3 linked regions of the Diceros bicornis minor genome follow. The protein of the gene in region 2 purifies or fractionates together with the protein of the main gene of each other region. This does not show direct contact. Links are inferred from orthologs where the notes say so. Each region holds a gene or a part of one and is shown on either strand. Other genes may lie near its edges.

Region 1 (7,132 bases), on a different chromosome or scaffold from region 2:
AGCCTAAATGAACAGGTTCCTAGACTAATTAATCTGTTCACTCATTGAGCAAATATTTGCTGAGCACCTACTAAGAGCATTTAGAAAACAATACAAAGAAGTTCTCTTTTAATCTGAGATGACCTGGATTTTACAAGTAAGTGTCTATATCTATCTTTTCCACCACATTGTGACTTCCTTAAAGAGAGAGATTATGTGTAGCAATAAAAAAAAAAAATTGGGGTTTGGAGCTAGACAGACCTTCATCTAACCCCGTATCTACCACTCCTAACTGTAATCTTAGAGAAGTTACTTAAATCTGGAGCCTCAGGTTCCTCTCACGTGTAAAATGAAGTAAATAACATCTATTCAGGAAATAATATCAATACCAAATACCAAATTGATATCAAACAATATCAATATAATATTATTCAGGACTGTGGTGAGGATTTGAATTATGCTTTAAGTGCCCAGATATGGGAGATGTTCAGTTGCTCATGAAATGTATGGACAAACCCATCAAAAAAAATGCGACTGCCAACGTCATGTTTCTTTCATATGGTCGCTGAGATGTATGATTCTGAAAATGAAGTATTAGATGCAATAGAAAAGTTTAGTTAAAACCCATCAATCTCGGGCCGGCCCCGTGGCTTAGCGGTTAAGTGCGTGCGCTCCGATGCAGGTGGCCCGGGTTCGGATCCCGGGTGCACACAGACACACTGCTTCTCCAGCCACGCTGAGGCCGCGTCCCACATACAGCAACTAGAAGAATGTGCAACTATGACATACAACTATCTACTGGGGCTTTGGAGGAAAAATAAATAAATAAATAAAATTTAAAACCCATCAATCTGTACACCAAGTAGAGATATACTGTGTACAAAAGAAGCAAAGAAACTTCTGGTTAATACTTTCACCACTCCAACACCACTCTCAGAGGCTGACAGGATTCTAGCTGCCAGACTTAAGGGATATACAATTCTGAATTTGAGTAGGCCCAAGAAATATACTCTGGCTTTATGAAACCCTGAGAAGTCAAACCTAACTTTGTCTTTAAGGCCTTAGCGACACTAAGCCAAGATTAGCCTACTGGCTTCAACACTCTGGAACATATCCCTCAGTCAGCCTCACAGCCACTTCTTCACCCACCCAAACAAATCTCGGAAGGCTTATCCAAGCCTAAAGCTGACCTCTTAAAAAACTGGGCCCAAAGAGATGCACACGGAGTTTGGAGAGATAGAAATGACTATTATTTCCTTTTTCTTTTCCATTCCTTGATATCCAAAGGAATATTACTCCTGAGTATTTTTCTTTGTTAAAGCTATATTGATAAAGTAATACAATATTACATGTCAATTATATCTCAATAAAAGCAGGGGAAAAAAATCCAGACTGGGGGAATAAAAAAACTACATTAAAGTACATTGAATTTAAGACCCAAAGCATTGGCTGAAAGGCACTTGACAAAAAATAATTAATACTTTTAGAATATAAATATATTCAAGTCCCTTAGCCACTTCCAGAAGCTCTACTGCCTACACAAAAAAGTGACCAATATATCACTGTACAAGGAAGAGCAATATTCCTGTCTACTTACATGTAGAGGAGAAAAGTCTACAGTCCCAAATGTGACTCCAAAATTTCAGGGGGAAAAAAGTCAAAGCATCTAAAAATACATCGTAAGTAAAAATATATGTTGTCTCTCACTTCCTAAAACTTCAGGTAAGAATAGTCATTTCTTAAAGTGTAATGTCAAAGGAACCTAAGATTCCTGTCCTTGTCTACTTCCAAAAGTTGGCAGGCTTCACTGAACTGCAGACCCCAAATGAACAGGTTCCTAGAGTACATTACCTTTTCATTCATTCAACAAATATTTACAAAGCAACTACTAAGGGCGAGGCAATGAGTACCAACCATGTTCCAAGACACATTGTAGTGAACAGGCCTGACAAGGTCCCTGTCCCAGTGCCACCGTCTTCAATGGGGGAAGCACAGAACTGAAAAGGGTGTTCCAGAAATTTGGGGGCAGAGGGAAGTATTTTCGGCTGTCTGCTTCATTACACCTTCTAAGGGAGTCATTCCTAAATATTTACATGAAGAGGAAGTTAAGAAACATTTGTTATAAACAAGAGGTTAAGTCACAACTTTCAATACCACTGACTCAGCAGAACTTACATTCCAAAGGTAGGAGAAACAGATAAAGCAAAAATAATCTCAAAAAGTGGTACAAAGAAAATAAAGGTGATATGAAGTGGGGTGATCTACTATAAATGGGGTTCTCAGGGAAGGCCTGAGAAACACATCAGGTACAAGTGAACACTAACTCTTCTACTATCACCAATCATAACCAAAAGTACTATGAAGTAAAAACCGTCGCTTTATAATATTAGCTCTCATCAATACTATAATTCATTATATTAACTTGCTGTTATTAACTTCCAAGTACAATCGTTCACAGTCCTTTAGCAAATCAATAACAGGTAGTAAAATCTTAGCTTACCTGACTTCGAAGACTAGTCTCTAAACAAACTTGAAGCTGCTTTTACAGCTCCGGCTCAGACAGTTTTTAATAATCACTGTTCACACACCTAATGCAGCTAACAAAAGAGAAAGATTCCGAGCCTCCGGGTTGCTGAGGTCGACCTGTTCCTACATACTGGGGTGAGCAGGGGCTTTCGCCCGGGGTGCGTGGGCTCCAAGGAGACGAGCCGCGGGAGCTCCGGGGAGCCCCGGGCCGCGGGCGCCCAAAGCGGACGGCGGGGGCGTGGCGGGCCCCGCGCCGGCCTTTGTTGTCCCTCGTGGCGCGCGGGGGGAAGGGCGGCCGGAGGCCCGCGAGGCCAGTAGCCGCCCCCGGGCCCCGTCGCGTGGCCTCCCGGCTCCCACGGGCGCGCGAACCCACCTTCTTGTAGTGCTTGCCCAGCCAGACCCGCACCGCATCCAGCTGGGACACCGTCTCCGGGCTCTCCCAAAACTTGCTGGCCGGGCCCCCGTCCTTCCGCCGATAGACGGCCAGGCCTGCGGCCGCCGCCGCTGCGCCTCCCGCACCCGCAGCGCCTGCCGCCGCCCCCAGCCCGCCGCCGCCCACCGCCGCGGCCATTCTCGCCGTCCGCCGTCCCCACCACCCAGCCCACCCCGGCCCTCGCCGCGTTCCCCGTTCGCACCCGCGCGCGCGCGCAGCTGCCACCGCCGCTTCCCGGCCCCGCCCAGCCAACCCCCTTCCGGCGCGGAGGCCCGACCCCGCCCCCTCTCGGGACCGGCGCCCTAACCGACGAGGGCACGCGCACACGCATGCGCAGTGCTCGCGCCAGGCGGGCCTCGGGGGAGCGCCTCCACCCGCCTCTTCCGCCATCTGCGGCGGCTTGCTCGACCTCTCCGCTGCCGAGCCTCCGCCTCTGCGCGTCTGGCTGTTTCCGGGGTTCCTGCGTCGGATCGTTGGCGGTCAACAACTGCATGGAGGTTCCCTGTCATCGGCTGCCACTGCCGGAGAGAAAAGGGCTGGTGTGAGAAGTTCCAGAGAGAAAGCCCGTTTAGGGTGTCGAGTGGCGGCAGAGGAACCCGCGAGCGGGTGGGAATGTGCGCCTGCCCTCGCTTACCCATACCTTCTACACAAAGTGGCCGTGTCAGCCTTTGTAGTCACTCACCTGGGACTACCACTCGGAGCTTCTTCGGCCTCACAGCCTTTCTGCCCCTCATGGCTCTAGCCGCACCAGCTCATTCCTGCCTCGGAGCCATCGCGCCAGCTGTTCCCGCGACCTGGACAGCTCTTCCCCTCTAATTGTCACTTAGGCGCTTTCAAATTCATAGCTTAAAGGTACTTTAGAAAAGCAAACCCTGACCATACAATCTTGAACAGGTAGTCATACTCACTGGACATTCTCTATGTAGCACTTACCACGACCTAGTATTTTTCTTTTCTTACTTATCGTCCACATAAATTAAATGAGAACTTAGTCTTGACTTGTTCACAGACGTACCCTCAGTGCTGGGAACAGGGCCTGTTATCTAATACATGTTCAATAAATATTTGATGAATGAATGGATGACGTACACAGGCAGAAAGGTTATAAATTATTAACGAAATATGATTGCCAATTATGAAGTTATGAACATAATGCTATATGACCCCAGAACAGCACGTGACTAATTGCTTGTGAGAAAGCCTGGTGAGTTTTTGAGACCAACTTTTAAGAGTGAACAGAATGTGATCAGGGAGGAAAGGACATTTCACACACATGAAAACAAGTGGAACAAAGGGTAATGCGCAAGTGTGAAAGCATGCTTGGTGCAACTCTCCATAAGACCATGGGATGGAAGCAGAGATGTTACTTGGTTGTGGCAATGATTTTGACTTTATCCTGTAAGCATTGAGAAACCATCTTGAACAGAGAGAATGACATGATCAGATTTATAGATTACGAAGATAATTGCAGCAGTGTGAATGATAGGAGGAAGAAAGAATAGAGAAAAGATGAACTGGTAACAGTCTAGGACAGAAACAATGAGAATGTAAGTAAGATATGGATCTTGCCCTCTAAGAGCTCAGACTTCAGAAATAATGATAATAGCGGGTGTCATGGAACACTGTGCCATGCTCTGTGCTGAGTACACCTACATTACTGCAGATAAGAAAATTGAGGCAGAGAGAGGTCAAGTAACTGGCTAGCAAATATATATTAGAGTCAGGTTTTTGAACTCAGGAATTAGATCCTGGAGTACTATTCCCCTCTCTTCCCAAGGACAATGTTTTCTACTAATAGTGTGTGAGTAGAGCAAAGAAACCACACTGGAAGAGTTCAGAAAGCTATTTCATTTTCTGGAGCCATTAGATCCTCCAGGGTGGTGTTCCAACATTTTTGTTCAAAAAAATTCTAAAATAATTTGGAAAACGATATACTTTCTTCTTTTAGAAAAACATCTAAAATTTTTCATCAAAAATTAAATAGTTGAAGGGCCCGGCCCGGTGGCATATCGGTTAAGTGTGCACACTAGGCTGCGGCGGCCAGGGTTCGGATCCACGGCTCTCACTGACGCACCGCTCGTCAAGCCGTGCTGTGGCTGCGTCCCATATAAACTGGAGGAAGATGGGCACGGATGTTAGCCTAGGGCCAGTCTTCCTTAGCAAAAAGAGGAGGATTGGCAACAGATGTTAGCTCAGGGCTGATCTTCCTCACAAAGAAAAAAAATACTTGAAGAGCATATTAATAAAGACGGACTTTTGTTTTTTGGCAGGGAAAGATCCACCCTGAGCGAAGATCTGTTGCCAATCTTCCTCTTTTTTTTCCCCTCCCCAATGCCCCAGTGCATGGTTGTATAACCTAGTTGTAAGTCCTTCTAGTTCTTTTATGTGAGCTGCCACCACAGCATGGCAACTGATAGACAGGTGGTGTGGTTCCGCAACCGGGAACCAAACCTGAGTGGACAAAGTGGTGAGAGTGGCAAACGTGAACCACTAGGCTATCAGGGCTGGCTCAAGATGGACATTTTTAAATGAAATGGTTCCATCACTTTTTTAAGTTTTTATTTTGAAATAATCTCAAACTTACAAAAAAGTTGCAACTACAGTAAAAAGAACTTTTTCTTTTCCTGAACCATATGTGAGTATATTGCTGACAATCATGTCCATCGCTCTCAAAAATGTTAGTATTTCCTACAGACAGGTATAACCTCTTACATAATCATAACAAAACCATCAACACCAGGAAATTAACTAATACTATCCTCAGATCCCTTTCGAGTTTTCTTCTTGCCCCTATAAGGTCCCCTTATACCAAAGTTTGTTCAGAATCAGGCATTGCATTAGATCAAGTTTCAAGTCTCCTTCAATCTGGAACAGTTCCTCAGTCTTTAACTTGCACCCCATTGACAACTTTGAAGAATACAAGCCAGTTATTTTGTAGAATGTCCCTCAGCTTGAGTTTGGCTGATGTTGTTTATGCTGTGTTCTTTTCATTGCATACAATCAAATGGTGCATGATTTCATTTCTTCCATTACTTAGATGACTTGATGAAGAGAGTATCTGCCAGGTTTCTCTACTATGAAATTATTCTTTTTGCCTTTGTGATTAATTACTATTTTTCTGGGGAGGTATTTTGAAAGTATGTAAATATCCCATTCCTCTTCAAACTTCCCATTTATTTTTATCAGACCATTTAACATTTTTATCAAATGGTTCAAAACTTGACTGAATGCATATTTGTAACTTCTCTAACAAGGAGAAATCTGGCTGCCATTATCCTTACTATATTTACTTATTTTATCAGTTCACCTATATGTAACCAATCTCCATGCTGGACTACCCTCCCATAGAGGTACCCTCCACTCTTCTTGGCTCCTACAATCCCATGCTAAGCTGTCCTAATATGCTTATATCTACCTTGTTCACTCCACCTAATGACTTTAGGACTGAATTGTTTGGGAAGAGATGGTAGGGGAATAGGAAAAGCAAGAAGACATCACTCTTAAACCTAATGAAGTCTAGGGGCCGGACCCGTGGCGTAGCGATTAAGTGCGCGCGCTCTGCTGCTGGCGGCCCAGGTTCGGATCCCGGGTGCACACCGACACACTGCTTGTCAGGCCATGCTGTGGCGGCATCCCACATAAAGTGGAGGAAGATCGGCATGGATGTTAGCTCAGGGCCAGCCTTCCTCAGCAAAAAAAGAGGAGGATTGGCATGGATGTTAGCTCAGGGCTGATCTTCCTCACACACACACAAAAAAACCTAATGAAGTCTAAATATGTAATAATTTGGTGGTCATAGTAGAATACAGAGAGTTCTCTCTTTGCACAGGAGTGCAATACCATAAAAATGACTGTGCAAGGGGCTGGCCCAGTGGCATAGTGGTTAAGTTTGCATGCTCCACTTCAGTGGCCCGGGGTTCACAGGTTCAGATCCCAGGCGCAGACCTATGCACCACTTACCAAGCCATGCTGCAGCAGCATCCCACATATAAAGTAGAGGAAGATGGGCACGGATGTTAGCCCAGGGCCAATCTTCCTCAGCAAAAAGAGGAGGATTGGCAACAGATGTTAGCTCAGGGCTAATCTTTCTTACCAAAAAAAAAAAAAAAAAAAAGACTGTGCAAGCAGAAACTGTGCAAAGCAAAGCTAATAATCAATGGGGAAAATTACAATTATTCCATGGCCTTTAAATTC
Region 2 (6,950 bases):
AAACTCCAGACTCCAGGTCTTTATCCTTTATCTCAGGAGTGCTTGCATGACTGTTATATTTTTGGAATGTCAGTACACAAAGGATAGTACTTGCAGTGACTCTTTACACACACACATCCACACAAAAATGTTTACATTGAAATTTGTTTTTCATAATTACTAATGTCATATTTTTTTGCAGCATGAAATAGAGTGATTCTAAATGTACACAAATTTTTGTGTCATTCTTCTTAATGATAATCCCCTGAATGTTTCCCAGCTGGCATTAATAACAGTTGCAATGTTTTTTCAACTCTGAACTTGATGAAGGCCAAGACAGAGGACAAGATCAGTAACATTTTGTAATGACTGCTGTGTTTCCACAATCTGAACAGAGCTGGTGAAAAGAGGAGGGGGCAGCATTACATGCATTCTAGTGCAGCGTTACAAGAATGGAAGACCAGCGACCCCGTGAGGCGAAACTAAGTGTTGCACTGCGTATACAGAGGAAATTCTTGATGCTGGAAGATTACAAAGGATTTCTGAAAGGGCACTTATTTTTATAGATCTGGATTCTGAGTCAACCACTGAGCATCTACTGGGGGCTAGATAGGTTTACATACATGTTACTTCAATATCTTTTATTTTTAGGTTGACAAACGGAATATGCTGGCTCCGGGAGGAAAGTAGCAAGCATTGATTGTTTTGGTATGTTATGCCCTTGAGAATTGACGCAGAGGCAGTAACCTTGAGTTGTTGTTGTTTTTAAATATGACTAGCTATCAGTAGCATTAATGTAGGCTTTACATTAATGAGCCAATAATGAGCCAAGACTTGGGAGAAAACATGTTAGGTTACAGAGGAGGAATATTAATACAAAAAAAACCACCCCTCAGATATTTTATATTTTATAAAGTAGATTCTGCTGGGTCAGTATTTTTCTTTTAAAATATTTTCTAGCATTTTTCCTAACTCTGAAGAATGGAAGAAAACAAGGTGCCATAGTATACGTCTTGCCTCAAAGGAAACATCACTGAGGATGCCAGTCCCCGACATTGTTCTCTTAGGATGCTGAATACGTTTCCTTTCTCAACAGTGTCTTCCTCCAGCAATTCAATACTTTAGGGTCAATAATCTTAGCGCCCTATTACATCTTTTGCTGATTAACATTTATGAGAGGTTTAAGTGTGCACTTTTATCTGCATTAACATGTGATTAGTCCTGACATATCAGATGTACTCTGAAGTTCATTTCATTTGAAGTTCATTTCAATGGTTTGTTATTAAATAAAGTAATGTGTTCAATAACACATCAAGAGAACAGCTGACCTGAAATTATGATTGAATGAATGATCTGTTTTCTAATATCTTTCCAAATTATCAAATGAAGCAAAACCCTTCCTTTAAGCAAAAATATTGAAGCCTGACTTTCCAGTCTTTTCTCAAGCTGTCTTCTTTGTGCTGTCAGACTGAAGATTCTCGGCACTCCAGTGTGTTCTCTGTGGGAGGAGTCAGTCGCAGCATCTCAAGCCTTCCTGAAGGCTAGGCGTGTGGTCCTCATTAACCCCACTGAACTGTTTTGTTTTCTGATGAACTCTGAACTAGTGGGACAAATGTTTTACTCTTTTTCAATCCAAATATATCTTATTTCTCCATGCACAGGAGATTTTGGAGATAGTACTGATGAGAGATATTAATACATATAATCTAAGTTGCTATATATGAATTACTATGCATTTAAATGGTAAATTGGTTTAAATGGATTACTGTGTATTATAAACACAAATAGTATCTCTTCAATATTTAATTATTACCAAAGTATCACATATTTTAGAACTCATCAGCTTTATTAGTCAAACACAACAAAAAAACATGGAGTGGAAGGGCCGGCCCTGTGGCCTAGTGGTTAAGTTTGGTGCACTCCACTTTGGCAGCCCAGGTTCAGTTTCCGGGTGTGGACCTAACACCACTTGTCAGTGGCCATGCTGTGGCAGCAACCCACATACAAAATAGAGGAAGACTGGCACAGATGTTAGGTCAGGGTGAATCTTCCTCAGCAAAAAGAGAAAAACCAAAAACATGAAGTGGAAATAGAAATATTTTGGGGGTTTGATATGTGCCTACAGTGAGAGCTATAATCATGGGGGCAACAGTTAACACAGAGCACTTGGTGCACTGTGCTGGACGTGTTATATGCATTATCTCAGGGTGGGTAATCGCTTTCTATAAGGGGTCCAATAGAAAATATGTTCTTCAACTTAGTGTGCCACATGGTCTCTGTCATAACTACTCAACTCTGCCCTTACAGAGCAACAGCAGCCATAAATGAATAAGCTTGGCTGTGTTCCAAGAAAACTTAGTTTATGGTCACTGAAATGTGAATTTCATATAATTTTCACATGTCACAAAATATTATCCTTAAAAACATTCTTAAAAACCATTTAGGGCCAGCCCCCGTGGCTTAGCAGTTAAGTACATGAGCTCTGCTGCTGGCGGCCCCGGTTTGGATCCTGGGCGTGCACCAACACACCGCTTGTCCCGCCACGCTGAGGCTGCAGCCCACATACAGCAACCAGAAGGATGTGTAGCTATGACATACAACTATGTACTGGGGCTTTGGGGGAAAAAAATAAATAAATAAAAATTATAAAAAAAAAAAACATTTAAAAATGGAATAACCATTCTTAGCTCCCAGGCCATAAAAAAACGGAAAGCAGGTTGGATTTGGCCCTGAGGCCATAGTTTGCTGACCTTTGCATTATGTCACTGGGTTAATGGGGATTTCCTAAATGATCAGATATACTGAGATTATATTATTAAATGAATGGAGGTTTTCTCACTAGCCTTGTTGCCCACCTTACTATCACTTTCTACTAGCTGCTGGCACCACGATGAATCCGGCTTTATTCAACTGTTCCTAGATTAAGATTAAGAGGAGCCTATACGGTATGTTTAGACTCTAGACAAACCATTTAAGAACTGCTATCAACAACAAGGATATACAACCAATCTTAAGGATTTGAGTTGGAGTGACATGACCAGATTTGGGTGTTTTTATAGATCAAGCTGCTGCCTGCCGCTGGCCAAGAGGCAAAGGGACAAGCCATTGTAGTCATCTAGCAGAGAGACACCGGTGATCTGGACTGGGCTGGGAGAAACGGGGAACTAAGAACAGTAGACAGACTGGGGATGTATTTAGGATTGGGTACTCGCTTGGATGATTGATTACACTGTTTTATGCCTGTCTCACAGGCTAAAATAAATTGATCACACCTTTAAAAATAATTTTTAAAGTGCTACCTAAATTTAGTTGGGATAGCGTATCATCCTTTTCTTCTTTTAATTATTAATAACCATTTTAAAAATTACAAGATCCTATCGGTTTGTCTGATTTACCGATTCCTCTTACCCCAAAATGGAGCATAACATTTCAGTTTCTTCAATACAAAAGTTAGTTGAAAACACTTTCTCTGAAAAAAAAAAATTCTGCATTCACCGCAATCCAAAACCAGGAATCACTGCGTGGAGACACTCTCTCTCAATTTCCTGACTCCGTTTTGCAGAGGTTCACCTTCGTCCACCAGATCCCCACTGGATTCCCATCTCTCCTCCTCGCCTCAGCCTTACCCTTGGGTCCGCCCCCGTCACTTCCCTCCCTCCTCCTCCCTCTCCCGCTCCCTCCACCCCACTCTCCCACCCACCTGGGAAGCTCCGCCCCCCTCCAGTTCCGCAACTCAACTCCTTTTCTCCTTCCGTCGCTTTCCCCTCTCCCCGCCCCCATGGCTGCCTTCGATTGGGTAAACTGGCTGTGCCGCGACAGGGATGCAGCACAGCCTCGTTCTGATTGGCTGAAGCGTAGCCGGTCCTCTAGTGATTGGCTGATAAGCGGAGACAGCAAGTGTGACTGCGCTCTGGGGCGTGTGGACGCTGCTTTGTTGCCGGAGCAGGGTAGCGGTGGAAGTTAAGGGGGTCGGGGGCTAGCGCTTCTCGGGGCCCACAGTCGCGGCCGTTGCAGTCACTTCGCCCGGTAGCCTGTAGCGTAGGAGTCGCGCCGAGAGCAGCCATGAGCGGCGGCGTGTACGGGGGAGGTGAGTGTGCGGCCGGACGAGAGAGCGCGCCTTTTTAACGTGTAGGGTTTGTAACCGCCGCCCCCAGCCCTCCCCTCCCCGGCGGCCCCTTCCGGTCTCCCCCTTTCGGGACCCCGGCCTCCCCGCCCCATCCCCGCCCCGCGCTCCGCCCGGCCCCGGAGCCCACCCGGCTCAGCGAGCGCCTCGGGCGCCCGGAGTCGCCGCCCCCTGCGGCTCCTTCCAGCCTCGCCCCCCGGAGGAGCAGGGGTTCGGGGGTGCGCGCCGCCTCGGGGCTGTGTTGGCAGCTCCATCCAGGGGGCCGGCCCGCTGAGCCCCGGCTTGAGTGACCGGCCCCAGGTCGCGTCTCTCCCAGTGTCTCCATCACTCGGCTGTCGGGGCGCGTGCGCGCGCGTTTAAACTTGGGAGGTCCCAGCACTTAGCAAGCGCGGACGGAGCGTTTCCGCGCCGTCCCGTAGACGGTAAAGCGAGCGCGGGAGGTGGAACTGGTCGGAGGAGCGGCGGCCACTGAGGACGCAGCCTTTTGTCCGTCCGCCCCCGGCTTCACACCTTCCAGTAACTTCTGCCTGTCTGTTGAGTGTGGCTTCTCCAGAGTTACTCGGGGGCGGGTTTGTTCGGATTAATTTAGGAACGCAAGTAATTTAAGGATGCTTTCCTTGGATAGGCAGTGGTGTGATAGACAGATTACTACGGGCCTGGGAGTTACACAGACGTGGTTGTAATACCAGCCTCCCCGTTTGTTTAGCGCTTTGGCCTCGGGCAAAGGCCAAGTTAAGTTACTTAACTTTTCCCAACTTGAGGCTCCTTATTTTTGGAATGATGGTTCCTACCCAGTGGGGTGGTTGCGAAGGTTAAGTGAGATGATGTTGGTCCATGGATCAACGGTGTCAGCATCACCTGCAAGCTTTTCGGAGATGCAGCATCTCAAGCCCATCTCGAAATCTACTGAATCAGAGCCTCCGGTTTTGCGAGATACCTAGATGAAGCACCGATGTATTTGATTCGTGTTTTGTGTTGTGTTTGATGAGTTACAGAACAAGGAGACAAATCCAAAGTGTTGCTTTTGTTATTGTGTCTAGTAAGGATACTGTTTCGGAAGAGGATGGCATTTTATAGGTAGGAGATAAAAATAAAGTTTTCAAAGTTGTTAGTAGTCTTTAGAGTGTAGCTTGAGTCTCTTCTGAGGTGAGATGCTGACGCTCACCCCCTCCTTCGCGTTAGTGTTCTTGGGTTTGATTTCTCAAATGTGAGAGTCAGTAGTTTCCCATTTTTACTTTGGAGAAAGCCTAGTGGATCTCCATGATTTCCCTCTTCCCCATCTGAGATGCAGTCCTGACAGAAAAACTGGATCTACGTGCCTTTGCCTCATGGGGGCCGTGGGCTCTACTGACCTGCAGGTTCCCTGATCCAAGCACCTAGAGGCTGTCTATTGAGTATTTCCTTACAAGGCCTTGTTTAATATGACTGAGGTAGAAATGGGTACGAATAATGCCAGCAGCTAACGTTTATTGATTGCATGCTGTGTACCAAGAACTGTTCCAGAGGCTTTTCATGGAATTTATTTAAAACATACATTAATTCAGTTAATCCACAACAACCGCAGGAGATGGTACTACTATTCCCATATTATTGAAGAAGAAAACGAGGTATAGAAAAGATCAAGTAACCAGTCCAAAGTTATATAACTTTCTAGTAAGTGGGGAGTAAGAATCTCTGGGAAGATGAAAAGGCATTTCAGTAAAACTGTTTCCCATTTAAAAAAAAAAGGTTTTTGGTTTCTCCATAGGTCATTTTTCAAGCTTTTAAATAGATTATAAAAGAAACCAATTATAATAAAATATAGTTCTATGCTTGGACTCCTTGGGGAGGCCAGAGACCCCGCTCCTAGTTTACCCTTTCTTAGGTAATCTGCTCCGCTCCTACAGCCCCAACTTCTATCTAAATATTAGTAATTCCAATCTCAAATCTCTCTCTCAAGCCCTCACCTTTGTCTAGAGCCATATCTCGGACTTCTTATGTACATCAACATCAGTTCCACCTGAAGTCCCATGGGTACCTCAAATTCGACATATCTGAAGCACTGTCTTCTTCTCCCTGTCCTGCCCAACCTGATCTCAGCAGGGCTTATTACAGTGAGTGTCCCCAGTCATCAGAGGCACAAACCTGAGAATCGTGAATGCCTTCATGTTTCATACCCTTCATCAAGTTCTGCCAAATATTTCTGCTAAATATTTCTTTTTTTTAAGTTTTTTTTCCCAGTTTTATTTATTTATTTTTTATTTTTTTGTGAGGAAGATCAGCCCTGAGCTAACATCCATGCTAATCCTCTTTTTGCTGAGGAAGACCAGCTCTGAGCTAACATCTATTGCCACTCCCCCTCCCCCCCCCCCCCCACAAAGCCCCAGTGGATAGTTGTATGTCATAGCTGCACATCCTTCTAGTTGCTGTATGTGGGACGCGGCCTCAGCATGGCTAGACAAGCGGTGCGTCGGTGCGCACCCGGGATCCGAACCCGGGCCGCCAGTAGTGGAGCGTGCGCACTTAACCACCAAGCCACGGGGCCAGCCCTCTGCTAAATATTTCTGAAATTCCTTCCTCTTAAACACCATTGCCACTGCCTTGATTCAGACTCTTAACAGGGAACTACTACAGTTCCCTACAGGTATTGTGCTTCTGTCTCTTCACCTTCTCAATCCACCTTTCAAACTGCTGCACTGTGATCTTTCAAAATTGTAACTGAACATTAAAATTGTAACTCTGAACATTTTGGTACATAAATCCTTCAATGAAAAGAAAGAGGAGAATCATTCAGTGGTTTCTCATCATCCACAAGATAAAATTCAAATCATTCTACCTAGTTGATATTCAAGGCCTAGCATAATGTGGC
Region 3 (7,653 bases), on a different chromosome or scaffold from region 2:
TTACCCTCCATGTCAAGGCTCAAAGGTCACCTCCTATGTGAAGCTCTGGTGACCACCTCCCCTGGGTCCTGATAACCCACCCTTTGTTTATGACACTTAGCACACTGGCACCTAAGTGGCTGTTGGCATGTCTTTTCCCCACGGACTGTGAGATCCCAGAGAGCAGAGATTCTGTTGAATTCCTGGTTGTCTCTGTACCTCCCAGCACCTGCCCTATAGCAGGAACTCAATAAAAATGGGGAGAACTGCTCTGCTGGCCAGGCCAGTTAGTGTTTTCCTGAGCAGGAAGAAGCTGCCCATTTGATTTCCCCAGTGCCCGGTGCCCCTCAGCCCCTACCTTGTTCTTACGTCCATCGATCTCAAAGAAGGAGATGGTGCCCTTGCGGTAGATCTCGTTGCCTGGAGGATGTCGCAGGTCACACTTGGTCTGAGAAAGAGAGGGGGATCAGGGGTGGAGGGAGGGTGGGGGGTGCTAGGAGGGCAGCCTTGTAGGACGCCTCATACCAAGTGACGCTGCAAACACTTGAGGCTCCGGCCGTATTTGAGACAGAACTCGCAAAGGTAGAGGACAGGCAGCGTGGTGAGCTCCTGCGGATACGGGGAGAAGTACCACGGCTTGAGGCGGTGCCGGCCCAGCTCAATACACTCAATGTTCTTCATCCGGGTGACGATGTCGTCGTGGCTTCGGTCAGACACCAAGCTCCCGGTCATGCGCGGAGCCGACGGTATTCCATCTGAGCTGTCCTGGGAGTCCTGTCCAGGGCCAGTGGAAGATACTAGATTACAGGAGACAACTCAAGCAGGACACTTTACAGCTCACACAGCCCTCCCAGCGGTTTCCTTATTCAAGCCTAACAGCAACCCTATGGCAGAGGTAGTACAGTCCCCTTTCCAGATAAACAAACTAAGACTTGGGAAGTTTTCATTCAAAACTTGGAAAAGATCACCCAATGCCTGATCTGAACGAGCTCTGGCTGGTTCTTTTTTTTTTGCTGAGCAAAATTTGCCCTGAGCTAACATCTGTGCCAATCTTCCTCTATTTTGTATGTGAGTCACTGCCACAGCATGGCCACCAACGAGTGGTGTAGGTCCACACTCCAGAACCAAACCCGGGCCGCTGAAGCGGAGCATACTGAACTTAACCACTAGGCCACTGGGCTAGCCCCATCTGCCTGGTTCTTATTCCCACCAATACCGTAGTTGCCCACCACCCCTTGTTTATTTTTAAACTAGTCACTAAACACTCCACCCTGCCTGTGTCCTCCACTTTTCACACAGCTTCTCTCTTCCCCAGACCCACCTCATCAGTGCCCAAGCAATTCGATTTGCGCTTCCGTCCAGGCTGAGCTGCCACTGCCCTACGGGCTGATCCATTCTGCAGGCAAGATGGTAAGAAGAGAAAGAGTGGCTGTGAGATGAGCCTGAAAGGGGCCACCAGAGGGCAGAAGAAAGGCAGGGGAGAAGAGATGGTTTGGGGGACTCACCTGGGGAAACACTGAGGTCGGGGCTGTCTCGCTGGGCACTGGAGTTGCTGGTGAAACCACCTCCACCTTCCGTTTCTGTAGAGAGAAACCAAGAAAGGTGGGTCAGAAGGTAGAGAAGGTGGGACCTGAGAGGAAAGCAAGGTCCCTGGAATTGCTGAGGGTACCGTTGAGCGGTGGTTGGGCTGCAGGCAGGAGCTGGAGGAGAGCGGCTGGTCGGGCTCGCCACCGGGAATGGCCTCCCGCTCCTTGGGCAGGTTGAAGCGGAGTGTGATCTGGACCGGGATTGGCAAGGTCTTCCCGCTGGCCTGGGCGGAGGCCGGCTGTAGAGATAGGTCCAGGGTCTTCCTCTGGGGTGGGGTTGGCGGTGGGATGGAAAAGGGAGTAGGGGCCCCTCAGCGTGAAATGATTAAACCCCACCCTCTGCCCTCTCAAGGACATAGGAAGAGCCACTGGACTCGAAGCTACATCTGTAATTTGGCCCCTGTCCTTTGCCAGCTGAAGCCAGGGTGGGAGAGCACTGCCTCCTGCCCATCCAGGAGCCACTGAGGCCAAGAGATGAGAGAAGTAGGAGGCAGAAGAGAAGAGGTGAAGCAGGGGACCTACTCACCACCTCTCTCTCTGGAGAGCCGGGGCGGGACCCAGGAAGTCCGTTCTTGGTGGGGGTCTTGGCCTCCTTCTTGGGGAACTGGATCTTCTTTAGGTCCAGCCGCTCGTGGGTCACCCATTCATCCAGGCGTTTGTTGACTGCAGCAGTGGGGATGGCTCAGGAGGGAATGCCAGAAGCTGCCCCCCAACCCTACCCTGCAGCCCCGCCTCACTGCAGCCCAGAACTCACAGTCAATGTAATGGACGTAGAAAAGCTTCCGGCCACTGATGTCCTTCACGCTCAGGATCTCGGCCAGGGCTGTGGGAACAGCACAGACGGCGGCCTTAGACAGGCCTGGCCATAATGCTCCACCCTCCTACGACCTGAACTCCACCCCCAGGCCGAATCTCTAAGCCCCAGCACTTGGAAGCTCTCGCCCAAGCCCCCGTTAGTCACCAAGTGCCGCCCTCTCTCCAAGCCCCGCCCTGTCCATCCCGGAGCTAAAAGGCACGCCCCTCCTGAGTATCTGCGCCCCGCCCGCCCCAGGATTCTAGAGGCCCCTCCCCCTCCCGAGGGTTCGGTTGACTCTCTCCCGCCCCTCGCCCTTAGGTTCCTTAGCCCCGCCCACCCGACGTCACTCACGCCACTCATCTTCGTTGTCCTGGTTCCGCCGCAGCACGGGCAGGCGACAGCCCTCGATTATCTCCCCCTGGGGAGACAGCGCGGCGCCAGGGTCGGCTACTGGGGGGCCTCGGGCTCTACCCACCTCCCCTGGCTCCCTCCGCCCCGCCCCGGGCACCGGACTCACCACCTCCGCCATCTTCCCTCCCTCCACTGCCACTTCCGGCCCCTCTGGGAGACGTCACTTCCGGGACTGAGCGCGCTGTAGGCCTCGGCCTCCCAAAGACGCTTTGGAAGAGGACCCTTGGGAGACACCGCCGCCCAGGTGGAAGCAGGGAGCCGGTCTGCCTGGGTGGCGGGAGAATGGGGTGTTTTAAGTCTCGGGCCGGGTCTTGGGTGGAATCCCCATAACGTGCATAGCGATTGGAGGAAAGCTGAGTCCGTCACGTGACGCCCACCAAGTGCGACGCCGGTCACGTCGCTGCGGGTCACGTGCGACTAGTGTTTGTGCTTTGGGGGCGGCCGAGCTCGGGCGTCTCCTAGTGGCACTGGGAGGTCTCGCCGGGAGTGAACTGCGCGTGCTCGGCGGGGGGCGGGTCTGGAGGGTTTGGGAGGCTGGGGAGGTGGGCGGGACTGGGAAGGGACCTCAGTACCTGGCCAAGTTTATGGACTTCATTTCTTAGGGATGGAGACTCACGGAAGATTTCTAGGTTTGCTGTTTTGTATATTGGGTTTCTAATTTTAAAAGTAGTGTGACGTCATTCATAACGTTCAACAAATGTTTAATGGTCCCCTACCATGTGCCAGGCGCTATTCTAGGAGCCTGGAACACATCAGTGAATAAAGAAGCCTGCTGTCATGGAGCTTACATTCTTGGGGGTTGGAGGAAAAAGAGGGATATAGATAATAAACAATAAATATATTAAAAAGTAAATTATTTAGTTTATTAAAGAGTGATAAGTGTTATGGGAAACAAAAAAAAAAATGCGGAAATTAAGGGAGATGGGTAGGTAGATGGCAATTTTGAGTAGGGTGCTCAGGGCAGACCTGGATGGAAGTGTGTTAGTTGAGCAAAGGTTTAGAGAGGTGAAGGGATGAACTGTGCAGTTACCTGCGGGGAAATTGTTCCAGAAAAACAGACCACAGTAAGGGGAGAAAAGTATAACCTCAGATCATCAGGGGACGTGTCCACAGGGAATATTTTGGTTGAGTGTCTCTTAGACTAGGGGTGGGCAAACTATGGCCTGCAGGCAGAATCCAACCCTCTGCTGGTTTTCCTGCAGTCAATGGGCTAATAATGGTTTTTATGATTTTTAACGGTTGGGGAAAAATCAAAAGAATATTTTGTGACACCTGAAGATTATGAAATTCAAATTTCTACGTCCATAAATAAAGTTTTATTGGAGCTACCCCCTCATTTACATTTTGTCTATGAGTCCTTTCATATTAAAACAATAATCGTGCAGGAGATATGGCCCACAAAGCCTAAAATATTTACTGTCTGGTCCTTTACAGGAAATGTTTGCCAACCCTTGCTTTATAGACTGTTGTGCTGTCTGTTTAATAAAACAGAAGCTCTTACTGTGTGTACTGTTCTGTGACCAGCTTGTTCACTTAGCAACATAAATTGAACACTCGTCACTAAATATTCTATAGCACTGTTTTAATGGCTACATAATGTTTATTGTTTAGATGCACCCTGGCTGCCATTACCAATTTCCTGTTGTCGAATATTCGTTATTTCCAATTTTCTCCTCCTACAAACAGTGCCATAAAGAGCATCCTTAGGGCCGGCCCCATGGCTTAGCGGTTATGTGTGTGCACTCCACTGCTGGCGGCCCGGGTTCGGATCCCGGGTTCGCACCGACGCATGGCTTCTCCGGCCATGCTGAGACCGCGTCCCACATACAGCAACTAGAAAAATGTGCAACTATGACATACAACTATCTACTGGGGCTTTGGGGGAAAAAAATAAATAAAAAATTATAAAAAGCATCCTTATATACACAACTTTCCACATATTCATCCCAGCATGGTTTGCGTTGAAGATCTAAGTGGGGAATGACTATATCTGCATTTTAGAAAGATCACCCTCGTGTCAGTGTCCTTGGATTGAAGGAGATAAGACCAGAACAGGACCAATCGGAAGGCTGTTGAGATCGGCCATTCACTGATAACAGTCAGTACATGTTCATGCAGGGCCTGCTATGTATGGCAGTTAGCAAAGTTTCAGTCCCCGCCCCCTTGTCAAAGTCACCAGTGACCTGCACATTGTTAATCAAATGCCACTTCTCAGCCCTCTTATCAGTGGCATTTGGCATGGTTGGTCACTCCCTCTTCCTTGAAACACACTTTTCCTGGCTTCCAGGATACTGGCCCCTCCTTACAGTTTCCTTCCAACTTCCTTAGCTGCTCTTTGTCTCCTTTGCTGGTTCCTCTTCCTGTCCGTGACCTCTAAACATTCAGAAATCCCAGAAATCCCAGATGTTCAGTCCTGGACTTCATCTCTGTATCCACTCTCAGTCCATTCATGATACCCTGGAGGCATGATACCCTGGCTTTAAATATCATCCACATGCCAAGGTTTTTCAAATTTGTATCTTCAGCCTGGATCTCTTCCCTGAACTCAGCTCTCACTGTCCACTCAGCATCTCTATGCGGATGTCTAGAGGGCTTGTCCAAAACCAAACTCCTAATTTTCCTTCCCAACCTGCTCCTCCCACCATCTTTCTTGTCCCTATCAGTTTCTCAGACCAGAAACCTTGAAGTGCTGTGACTTCTCTGCTTCTCTCACATTCAACCAGGCGGCAGATACTCCAGGCTCCGTCGCTTCTTCGGCCTTCGCCACTACTACTGTGGTGCAAGCTACCACCGTCTCTCCTCAGAACTGTTGCAATAGCCTCATACATAGAAGCAAGAGGAATTGTTAAAAAATATAATTCAAACCATGTCACTCTGATGATCAGAATCCACTAATGGTTTGTCATTTACTCAGAGTAAAAGCCAAAATCTGTATATGGATCCAGCCCCTGTTGCCACTGCCTCTGCTTCTCCTTTTGTCCCCCTCGCTCACTACATTCTAGTCACACGGGCCTCCCAGTGTCTGGGACATAACAGGAATCTTCCTCTCTCTGCTCCTTTGCTGTTTCCTACCTGCAGCGTTTCTCTCCATTTATCCACTTGGCTTACTCCCTCACCTCATTCAAGTCTTGGCTCAAATGTCACCTTCCCAGTGAGGCCACCTCTGACCTCCCTAGTTAAATCTGCCCACCCCCCACCCACCGCATCTCCCTCCCCCTGCCCTTCGTTTTCCTACATACCATTTATTCCTAGCTGTCAAATCACATATTTTCCTTATTCACTTGTTAACTGTCTGTCTTTCCCTCACTAGAAGGTAAGATCCATGAACATGGTATTTATATTGTTTGGTCCAGTCCTATTTTCACAACTTCTCGAATACTGCCCAACTCATAGTAGGCGTTCAGTTAAAAACTGTCAAATGGATGAAGCACGTGGTCTCGCCGGGGAGCCAGACATTCCAGAAAGTGAGGATAGCAACAGCAAAGAGAGAAAAAGAGGAGAAAAAAACAACTGGTGCACAGGGCATCAGTCTTGCACCAGCATTAATTGAGCACCAACTGTATGCTGCACCCTGCAGGAGCAACTTGAGTGAAAACAGATGAGGCCCCTGCTCTAGTGGGACGAACAGGAACAGTTAACAAAACAAAGCAAAAGTAATCCCTCTGGATGGTGGTAAGTGTGGTGACGATGATGAGCAGTGTGATCTGGCCGAGAGTGAGGAGCTGGTCCGTGTGGGCCTCTCTAAGGGATGTCAATCAGATTCCCACTGCCCGCTAAGAGTCTCAGGATGCCCTGCTCCAACTGGCTTAATGAGGGAATGTCTTGGTCCACGTGACCCAACAATGTCACCAAGACACAGTTTCTGTCTTTCCACTCCCGCCTCCCCAGGTCTACCTTCCTTCTGCGTTAAGGTGGACTCCTCCTACGGTCGCAGGACAGCTGCCCACAGCTCTGTGGCCTACACGTGTCTGAGGAGAAAATCTCTTCCCCAGCTATGGAAAGAAAGTCCTGGGCTTCCCTCAGATTGAACCATTTTAGGGCATGTGCCTCTGCCTCAGCCAATCCCTGTGGCCAGGGGGATGGAATTCCACTGGTTTAGACAAACCAGGGCCCACCCGGAAGCCGGGGCAAGTCAGCGGCTGCAGCTGGGAGAGGATGGAGCAGCTGTTGGGAGGCAGCCAGGATGGCCACTGCAACAGATGACATGTGACCTGAGACCTGAATGATGAGGAGGGACAGCCTAAGAAGATCTGGGGGAGGAGTGTTCCAAGCAGAGGGAATGGCAAATACAGAGGTCAAGTTCAGCATGTTCCGGGAAAGAGAAGCCAGTGTGGCTGAGGGGGGATGATAATCCAGGAGTCAGAGAGCTGGCAGGGCCCCATCACGGGGCCCTTTATAGCATCTTTGTAAGGAAGTCAGATTTTGCTTTAAGTGCAATGGGAAGCCATTGGACAATTTGGAGCAGGAAAATAATGCATCTGATTAAAGCTTTAAAAGCTGTCTCAGGGAATGAGGGTTGTTGGGAACATGACATGAGTAGCAGGCTGAGGACAGCTAGAAAGTTCTTGCTGCCCTGAAAGCAAGGATCGGAGGTGATTGAAGATTGAGGTATGACCAAAAGCATGGTGAGAGAAAGGGGCCAGGCACGGACCAGAAGATGGGGGCCTGATCCTGTTGGGGATCAGCACTTCTCCAGCTGGGAGTCTCAGATCCTGCAGGAGGAGAATCCTTATTCCAAGAACTAATTGTCCCTTCAGAAAAAATGAATGTGGATTTCTGTTTTCCAAATGCACGTGCTGCGGTTATGCTTGATAAGATCCAAATCCATTGAAATGCTTGCTGAGTTCAAAATGGGGGTACAGGCTGCTTGGCAGAGGGTCC

The links. The genes of interacting proteins can lie anywhere in the genome.
Region 1: the proteins of ACTL6A (region 2) and SMARCC1 fractionate together in Homo sapiens (co-fractionation; 8 studies listed by BioGRID and IntAct, with this or other methods). This does not show direct contact. The link is inferred for Diceros bicornis minor from reciprocal best matches to the Homo sapiens genes ACTL6A and SMARCC1.
Region 3: the proteins of ACTL6A (region 2) and KAT5 purify together in Homo sapiens (affinity purification with mass spectrometry; 6 studies listed by BioGRID and IntAct, with this or other methods). This does not show direct contact. The link is inferred for Diceros bicornis minor from reciprocal best matches to the Homo sapiens genes ACTL6A and KAT5.

Annotation. Positions count from the first base shown.
Region 1 is NC_080741.1:49,080,689-49,087,820, forward strand, and holds the start of SMARCC1 (SWI/SNF complex subunit SMARCC1), read right to left. Parts: upstream 3,086-7,132; 5' UTR 3,077-3,085; coding exon 2,879-3,076; intron 1-2,878. UniProt on the Homo sapiens protein: Involved in transcriptional activation and repression of select genes by chromatin remodeling (alteration of DNA-nucleosome topology).
Region 2 is NC_080754.1:43,459,507-43,466,456, reverse strand, and holds the start of ACTL6A (actin-like protein 6A), read left to right. Parts: upstream 1-3,908; 5' UTR 3,909-4,041; coding exon 4,042-4,066; intron 4,067-6,950.
Region 3 is NC_080770.1:7,514,381-7,522,033, forward strand, and holds the start of KAT5 (histone acetyltransferase KAT5), read right to left. Parts: upstream 3,086-7,653; 5' UTR 2,891-3,085; coding exon 2,713-2,890; intron 2,389-2,712; coding exon 2,320-2,388; intron 2,229-2,319; coding exon 2,092-2,228; intron 1,832-2,091; coding exon of another isoform or gene 1,805-1,831; coding exon 1,649-1,804; intron 1,560-1,648; coding exon 1,485-1,559; intron 1,376-1,484; coding exon 1,301-1,375; intron 754-1,300; coding exon 505-753; intron 428-504; coding exon 338-427; intron 1-337. UniProt on the Homo sapiens protein: Catalytic subunit of the NuA4 histone acetyltransferase complex, a multiprotein complex involved in transcriptional activation of select genes principally by acetylation of nucleosomal histones H2A and H4.